Linked DNA regions of Daphnia pulex. The protein of the gene in region 1 interacts with the protein of each later gene in a pairwise test. Links are inferred from orthologs where the notes say so. Each region holds a gene or a part of one and is shown on either strand. Other genes may lie near its edges.

Region 1 (4,250 bases):
TAGGATTATACAAAAGAAAAAAACTCTCGAATAAGTGCGAATACATAAAGTGAATGATAAATAACATACGTAATTGTTTCTTCATTTTAAAACTGCTTGGTGACGAATGTTCAACAGCGCACGTGGCCAAGTAACACTAACAGAAAAGCTAGTGGACTAATGAGCAGACGAAAATCAATTTTTGACATACCGTTGTGAACTACCGATGCTGAAGCCTTTTCTGACCATAATTTTTCTTCCTTCATTATTTAAAATTTTAAAAAATTCTGACTAAATTTTAAGGGTTATTTGTTATTGATTATGTAATACAATTCGCACGTTAAGCAGAAATTTTTTCTTATTTGTCAATTGTCAGTTCTTAATAGGCTTGAATTTTAAAATAAGAAGCAAGCCAAGAACCTGAAAGACTAGAGAAGAAAGCAAAAGCACTTCCAATTTCTAAAGAATGACAAAACAACTGTTGAACCAAACAAATTTATTGACTCTGTAAACAATCTTTGGAAACAGTAGTTGAAACTGGTAAAGGGAATAGACTGGAAGGTGTTTTGAAATCAATGCTGATTACATCACTAGATCTCAAAAGAGATTGTTTACAGTTCCCCAAAGGAGTTTTTAGGCCAGAGACATGAAAATATTTTAAATCAGCACTGGAGCATTCATATTGACCAGTAACTGTAATATTTTCATGCATAGTGAAAACAGCTTCCACTCCTATAAATAGAATAAATAACAGTTAAAATACAATTGGGTTATGTTATATAAAGCTTTGATTACCATTGAGTTTGGTTAGTGTTCGCAGAAAGTGTTCTCTTAACCAGACTCGCGCTTCTTCATCTGATGACATTCCTACTCGTATTCAGAGCTCGTATTTGTTTTTTAAGATTACAAAACGACCGGCAATCAGGTTCTCAGGACGATCATCTGCAATTTACCAAAACACAATAAATATTGACTGATACAACTAGGCTATAGTGGATTATAAAACTAATCACCAGAGTTTTTTTATTAATGAAACAAATACTTAATTAGCTAAAAGCTCCAATGAGAAGAACAATACACCAATACCTTGTAAATTTGAAAAAGTATCAAAATATTCGCAATCAGAACAGACGAACTATTTACTCTTGGTTGCCACACCTCCTCGCTACTTTGTTGTGATTTCTCAAAACGTTTCACGACTGACACTAAAAATCATAAAATAAGTCTATTTTTAAAACAAATTTTTTTTCAAGTTAAAATAACGAGAGATTCATATTTTTAATAGATTATTATTTTTGTTAAAGTTTTTCCTGGTTACCATGCCTTTCTTTTGAGGGCATATGTGGTCAGCTGTTCAGTTCATTTTTTGCAGGGTCTGGTCTTGACAGTTTCACTCATGGCTACCGTCCTTCACCAATCCTCGTGAAACCTCTCGTTTATTTTCGCTGCACCCATCGTTTTTAACTGTTACAATTTCCCTCCTTATTAAGCACTGGTTAAGCACTCGTTTTAATTGATACCATAAAATGGAAGTGGGTAACGTAGAAATTTTAAACTTGGAAATCGAACGGTTGACGAGAGAGCTGGACCAGACGAACAGTGAAAAAATCCAGTCCGCTCAATATGGGATTGTTTTACTGGAAGAGAAAGAAAATCTTCAACACAGATGTGAAGAACTTGAAAGTCTCTTTGAGAACGCTCGACATGAGTTGGCATTAACCCGTGAGGTAACCTTCTATGCTTTTTATTTAAATGGATTGCACCATCACATACCTTGTGCTATCACCCTGTATATCTGTTTAGTTACTCTACATTGAGTTCTTATGTTTTATACATCAGATATTTTTTCTTGATATGTCTTAATAATTTGATGTAACATTATGTATACAGGCACTTGCTCGCTTCCAGAATAGTCACAAGGTTACAACCAAGAGTGGCATAGAAACCGAAGAATCTCTTTTATATGAATCAGCTGCAAGAGAAACATCTCTCAACTCTCAAATCCTTGATCTTGAAGCTGACACAAAGCATTTGCGCCTTGAACTGGAAAGGGTGACAGCTGAAAGAGACCAACTCACTCAACAAGTAAAGTAAAATAATATGCAAGTCTCACTTGTGTAATTATATTTTATTCACTTTTGAATTAGTTAAATGATACTGGGAAAGAGAGGGAAGTCTACATTTTTGAACGAAAAACTTTAAAAGCTGAATTGAAAGAACTCAAATACAGAGAGACCCGCCTTCTTAGTGATTACTCAGAGTTGGAGGAAGAAAACATCAGTCTTCAAAAGCAAGTGTCTGTGTTGAGGTCTTCTCAGGTAATGTTGAAAATGATTTTCCTTCCAGTATTCCATTTAACCAAATATTTTTGGCTAGGTTGAACTAGAGGGAGACAAACATGAACTACGTCGATTGCAAGAAGAACTCGAGCTGCTCAATCAACAAAATGCAGAGTTGGCGCATTTGCGAAAATTAGCTGAAAAACAGATGGAAGAAGCATTAGATGCCCTACAAGCTGAAAGAGAAGCCAAATATGCTATCAAGAAAGATCTTGATGCAAGAATGACTAGTGAATCCATGTTCAATTTGAGCAATTTAGCATTCAGCATTAAAGGTAATTGTGAAACCAATTTTTATTTAATTTATGTTTCTGTCATTTCCTTTTTTGTATTAAAGGACTATCTGAAGAACATGGGGCAAGTGAAGGTGAAGACGACGGTCCACTGTTGCAAAAACTTGAAGCCTCATTCCTGAAAACTGGTGGTGTAACCAATGACGGGACAGAAGGGGGCGATGGGAACAACAAGGGTGGTGGAGATTTGTTTAGTGAAATTCACTTGAACGAAGTCAAGAAACTAGAAAGACAGCTAGAACAAGTCGAAGCGGAAAAAGGGATGTTGTTTCAACGTCTACGAGATGCCCAAGATTCCTCCGATGTTGCCCGACACGAAGCAGCATCCAGACATGTTCAACTGGCCAAACTGGATGCGTATTTGGCTAGCCTACTTCACCTTCACGAAACTGTGGAAACTCCTACTAATGCTTCGGTAAAGCTATTTTCTATTTTTTCTGATTTTTTTTTAAGGTTTCAAATGATTATTTTTTGTTTTTCGTAGGAAATTGATCGGACACCATCAGAGCCGTCTTCTGCTCCTGGCAAGTCTACGTATCTTCAGCAATTGGTTGATAAATTCAAGCATCGTACCGCGCTGGCTGTTAGGGAACTTCAGCAAGCTCAACAAGAATTATGGGCTCTCCGAGGAGCATCTACCGGTCAACTACCAACTGATATGGAACAAGATTTCATCGCGTTGAAGAAGAGGGTAATTTTTGTAATACCTTTTTAATTAGACATTTACTCACCTTTTCGTGTAGTTGTTAGATACAGAGCAAAAAGTGTCAGTTCTTCACTCTGAAATTGCGGCCTCCTCCGAGTCGGCTGGTGATAGTCGAGCTACATTGGTAGCACTTCAGTCTGAACTATCTCCTCTTGTAGATGACATCACTGCCCTTACGCTACATCTGTGTGCTGCCGTAGGCATTCAGGCAGGATCAGGGTCCCATGCAGGAATTATCCGGAGCTCAACTGGTAAGTAGAACTTAGTTAAAATGAATTTGCTTTTGAATATTGACTTAAGATTCAACAACTACAATAGATGCTGGCAGTGGACCTAGTAGCTTAGCTTCGGATGTCGCTGGACCAACCTCTATCGGTTCCGAATACAATAAGGAGAACATCTCACCAGAATCCAGTGTTACAGTCACTTCTCTTCAAAATCCTACTCGACTCTTGCACATGCTTCAAGAGCAAGTTCGTCTGTTGCGCCGAGCTGCTGAAATGCTGGTCAAACAAAGCCACACCAAAGACACACCCAACGACTTGGTATCAGACAAGGATCGAGACAACTTCGAGTCAGATGTCGCTGAACTCCAAGAACAAATTGTTAAGCTCAAAGGTATATTATTGTCAAAAAGTATTATTAGGATTATCAAGTGTAACGGGAAACTTTGTTTTTGCTTCAGCTTTGCTCTCAACCAAAAGAGAGCAAATTGCCACTCTACGCACTGTCGTCAAGGCTAACAAACAAACAGCCGAAGTTGCACTGGCAAATCTTAAGTCAAAATACGAGACAGAAAAGTCGATAGTCTCTGAAACGATGAACAAACTTCGTCTTGAACTAAGAACTCTGAAGGTAAAACTTGAAATTGCATTTTCCCAAGTGATCACTTGATATTTTACTCGTATTTTCTCTCCGTTTTAATAGGAAGAG
Region 2 (4,602 bases), on another chromosome or scaffold:
CAGAGAGGTCGACGGTCTCAGCATCACGGCCGGAACAATCGACCAATAACTACAGCTCCCGGGTCCACTCGTCCCGGCCGTGGAAATAACGCGGAAACGGAAATGGGCCCCGGGGGCGGAGCGATCGATTACCCGCCGTCGACACCCACCAGCCCCAGTACGCCGAAAACGAACGATCCCAACGCCATGGAGAGCGGATTCTTCAACAACAAATATGCCGATGATCAAGCGGACAACAACGGCCGGAACAAAACCGATCATCCAGCCGATGCCGTCAATAAATCGGTATTTATTCGTCAAGTCAATTCAATATTGATCACCAACGCGACAAAAATTGTGAAATCCCTCTCCGCATTGTCTACGACTTTGAAAGGGAGTCGATAGAAATCGCGGCGGGAGCGACAAGCGGCACGACCGTTTGGAATTGGAATCTGATCTGGACGGAGTTGAAGGCAAGGAAATGATGCGACCAATGGCTCATCGTTATTCCAACCGATCACGTAAGTTGGCTGGGTAAATAAATAAATACCTTCTTCTTTTATCATGGGTGGGTGTCGGATGAGTCAGTGGATATTTGGAAGCGAACAAAAAACAAGACGACGTCTCTATCTTAGTTAGAGTGTCGAGAACTGCCAGAAAAGAATTAAGGCGGTTTTTCATCTAATCTAGTTTTTCCTTTTTTTCCTTTCTTTCTTTCTTCGGTGGGTGGCCGTGGGTTGTGACTCGATCCGTTTTTATCGATCCTCCCATTTTGGTGACGTAACAATGACGCACGCACGTAGCTGGAACGTCTGGAGCTGGCAGCGGCAGCGGCGGCAGTAATCGTCTCAGCCGACTGACGGAGCAGGAAGAAGTCGACTACGATGACGATTACGTCTACGAGGACGACTACATCGACTCGGAAGAAGAAGAAGATGTCCATCACAACAAACCGGTGCCCATCTGGTTGAGCATTTTACTGGTGGTCGGTTACATCTTTGGCGGGGCCTTCCTCTTCAGCGGATGGGAGCAGTGGTCCTTCCTGGACTCGGCTTATTTCTGTTTCATTACTCTGACCACAATCGGTTTTGGCGACTTTGTTCCGGCGCAAAACGTCAAAGAAAACGTCGAGATCAGCATTGCCCTCTGCTCACTTTACCTGCTCTTCGGTATCGCTCTGCTGGCCATGTCCTTTAATCTGGTCCAGGAAGAAGTTATCAATTCGGTTAAATCCGTTGCCAAACGATTGGGAATTATCAAAGATGACGATGATGAGGATGACCGATAAGAAAAAGCCAAGCTGACCACAATATTAAAAAAAAAACATAAACAAAAAAATACAGTCCACACACACACACAAACTTCTTAAATATGATCAGTTTCACTCATTTTTCTCTATATTTCTTTTGTTGGTTACATTTTTCCTTTTCTCTTTTTGCTATCTCGTTTTGGTGAGTGATTAATAATCTGTGCGTTGCTGCGTAACGGTGAAATAGATCATCATGCTCATATTAAAATCTGTTCTATAATTTCGATTGTACATTTAATTTTCTTAGAATTATATTTGGCTTTTTTTTAAATGGGGGCGTAATGATTTTAAAACATTTAAATTTCCTTATGTCCACGTCCCGCCATATAGTAACTTCACGAAAGGGGGCGGTTCCAATATCAAATTCACGCGCAAGATAGATCCAGAATAAAAGTCGCAATCCGTGAAATATTTATTGAAAATATCGGAATTGGAAACAATTTTATGAATTAACTAGTCATTTAACGCATATTTATAAGTATCTATTTGTACTTAAATGCACATTTTGAAAATTATTTTTGGAAAAGATGGCGGCGGTGGCAGCGGACTAGCGGATGGATACACAAAATTCTGACTTGCGTTGGCAAAGCCGTGTTTGATAGGGCCGATTTCTGTAACTTGTGTGACAGCACTCTATCCGTTCGGTTTCTCAGGAGGCTATTTGGAAAAAAGTCCCGATCTAGAAGAGTTTGTACCTTAGATTGTACCATCAGACCGTCATAATGGCGCAGATGTTACCCATCAGGTTTCAAGAGCATCTCCAGGTATTTTTTACCTTAATTTTGATCATTGTTTAAGTAAAAACCTTTATGGGTTTGACAGCCTGATTGTGGCCGGCCAATGACTCACACCGGCAATTCATTTTTTTAACGGATTGTACGGCTTTTCCGGTCCTGTAAAATGGCTTAAATGACGCACCTGCTTTTTTGGTTTCGTTTCAAGTATGAAACAAGTATATCGTTTAATAACTGTTGCAATGGGTATCAAGTGACATATACTTGCCAAGTCACACCTTTCGCAATCAATAGTTTTCAGCCATGATAAACGAGAACCTGATTTCACAAAATTTTTTCCAATTTATTTTGTGTGGCTTGAAGACTGACCACTTGAATTTTAAAGCTGTAATTGAGGTTGTCTGCATATGTAAGGGTTCCATAATCAATACTTGTTATTTGCAAGGAAGTGTTCTTGTTTCCCGATCACACATTTATGAGTGCTTCTTTTTTCACAATTTACACAGCTCACAAGTATTGGGATCAATGCCGCCAACATTGGATTCAGCACTCTCACCATGGAGTCGGACAAATTCATCTGTGTCCGAGAGAAGGTGGGAGAAACAGCACAGGTGGTCATCATTGACTTGCATGATCCAACCAACCCTATCAGAAGACCGATCTCTGCAGATTCAGCCATCATGAATCCAGCCAGCAAAGTGATTGCTCTAAAAGGTAAGTGTTCTTGAGTAAGTAATAGCATGATGGGTGTATGATTGTCTTTTTATGTTGACTTTTATTAGCTGGAAGAACCCTCCAGATTTTCAACATTGAAATGAAGTCAAAGATGAAGGCTCACACCATGACGGAAGACGTGGTGTTTTGGAAATGGATTTCTGTAAATACCATTGCCCTAGTCACCGAGGGTGCCGTCTACCATTGGCCCATGGAGGGTGATTCGCTTCCGCAGAAAATGTTTGACCGCCACTCCAGTTTGACAGGCTGTCAAATTATCAACTACAGAACGGACGCCAAGCAAACGTGGCTACTTCTTATTGGCATATCCGCCCAGCAAAATCGCGTCGTTGGAGCAATGCAACTTTACTCTGTCGAAAGAAAAGTCAGCCAACCCATCGAAGGTCACGCTGCTGCCTTCTCACAGTTCAAAATGGAGGGAAATCCTGAATTCTCTACCCTGTTTTGCTTCGCAGTCAGAAGTGCTCAGGGCGGAAAGGTAAACATTTAACCATTGTCGTCATTTCGATGAGTTTCAATCTTTAAATTTCCTCGCAGTTGCATATCATTGAAGTGGGAACGCCGCCAACCGGAAATCAGCCTTTTGCGAAGAAAAATGTCGATGTTTTCTTCCCACCCGAAGCCCAGAACGACTTTCCCGTAGCTATGCAGGTAAACTCTTATTTCCTTTCATTTAAAAAATGAATAATTTTGTACGCCGCAATAGAAACGTTTGTGAAAAACGATCGAATGTACTTTGACATTGTGTGTTTATTGTTAAATGTTGTTGTTTTTAGGTCAGCCCGAAACACGACGTACTGTATTTGATTACAAAGTACGGCTACATTCATTTGTATGACATGGAGACTGGTACCTGTATCTACATGAACCGAATTTCGGCAGAAACTGTATTCGTCACCGCCCCACACGAGCCCTCTTCGGGTATCATTGGGGTCAATCGCAAAGGCCAAGTATGTTTTGGTTTTCTTTTTTGTATTCTCCAGTGTTTTGAAAGTGTTGAAATGTAATGCTAACTTTTGAAAATCAGGTTCTATCTGTCAGCGTTGACGAGGATACCATCATCCAATACATCACGACGGCCATGCAAAATCCGGATCTTGCGTTGCGAATTGCTACTCGCAATAATCTTGCTGGGGCTGAGGAACTTTTTGTCCGCAAATTCAACACACTCTTCCAGGGTGGACAGTATGCCGAGGCCGCTAAAGTACATCTACCTTGCTTGTCGTATGCTTTGTTTGGTTTTAATGTTAGATTTATTTGTACCTAGGTTGCCGCCAATGCACCGAAGGCCATTCTGAGAACACCAGCCACAATCCAGCGCTTCCAAGCAGTGGCCGCTCAGCCAGGCCAAACTTCCCCGCTATTGCAGTATTTTGGAATCTTGTTGGATCAGGGACAGTTAAACAAATTTGAGTCCTTGGAACTATGTCGTCCCGTTCTTCAGCAAGGTCGCAAGCAGCTGCTAGAAAAGTGGTTGAAAGAGGATAAACTTGAATGCTCTGAAGAGCTTGGTGACTTGGTGAAACAGGCCGATCCTACTTTGGCCCTATCGGTTTACTTGCGAGCGAACGTGCCCAACAAAGTTATTCAGTGCTTTGCTGAAACTGGACAGTTCTCCAAAATTGTTCTGTATGCAAAGAAAGTGGGTTACACGCCCGATTATGTGTTCCTGCTACGTAGTGTCATGCGCATCAGTCCCGATCAAGGAGCAATGTTCGCTCAGATGCTGGTGCAAGACGATGAACCGTTAGCCGACATTGCCCAAATTGTTGACATTTTCCTTGAGCAAAACATGGTCCAACCGTGCACGGCGTTCCTTTTGGATGCATTGAAGAACAACCGTCC

Evidence for each region.
Region 2: the proteins of protein bicaudal D-like (region 1) and clathrin heavy chain 1 interact in binary tests that used the Drosophila melanogaster proteins (3 or more experiments, as listed by UniProt). The link is inferred for Daphnia pulex from reciprocal best matches to the Drosophila melanogaster genes BicD and Chc.

The regions. Positions count from the first base shown.
Region 1 is NC_060027.1:4,510,381-4,514,630, forward strand, and holds the start of protein bicaudal D-like, read left to right. Parts: upstream 1-1,241; 5' UTR 1,242-1,505; coding exon 1,506-1,706; intron 1,707-1,869; coding exon 1,870-2,064; intron 2,065-2,126; coding exon 2,127-2,297; intron 2,298-2,355; coding exon 2,356-2,593; intron 2,594-2,655; coding exon 2,656-3,026; intron 3,027-3,095; coding exon 3,096-3,302; intron 3,303-3,354; coding exon 3,355-3,568; intron 3,569-3,635; coding exon 3,636-3,935; intron 3,936-4,002; coding exon 4,003-4,172; intron 4,173-4,244; coding exon 4,245-4,250. Other genes in the region: guanine nucleotide-binding protein-like 3 homolog, read right to left, coding at 70-85. UniProt on the Drosophila melanogaster protein: This protein is essential for differentiation. It may play a role in localizing of Nanos (a maternal determinant) activity in oocytes. Functions redundantly with BicDR.
Region 2 is NC_060017.1:1,777,759-1,782,360, reverse strand, and holds the start of clathrin heavy chain 1, read left to right. Parts: upstream 1-1,707; 5' UTR 1,708-2,010; coding exon 2,011-2,052; intron 2,053-2,528; coding exon 2,529-2,736; intron 2,737-2,804; coding exon 2,805-3,235; intron 3,236-3,294; coding exon 3,295-3,408; intron 3,409-3,533; coding exon 3,534-3,707; intron 3,708-3,784; coding exon 3,785-3,961; intron 3,962-4,024; coding exon 4,025-4,602. Other genes in the region: TWiK family of potassium channels protein 9-like, read left to right, coding at 1-285, 374-500, 783-1,267. UniProt on the Drosophila melanogaster protein: Clathrin is the major protein of the polyhedral coat of coated pits and vesicles.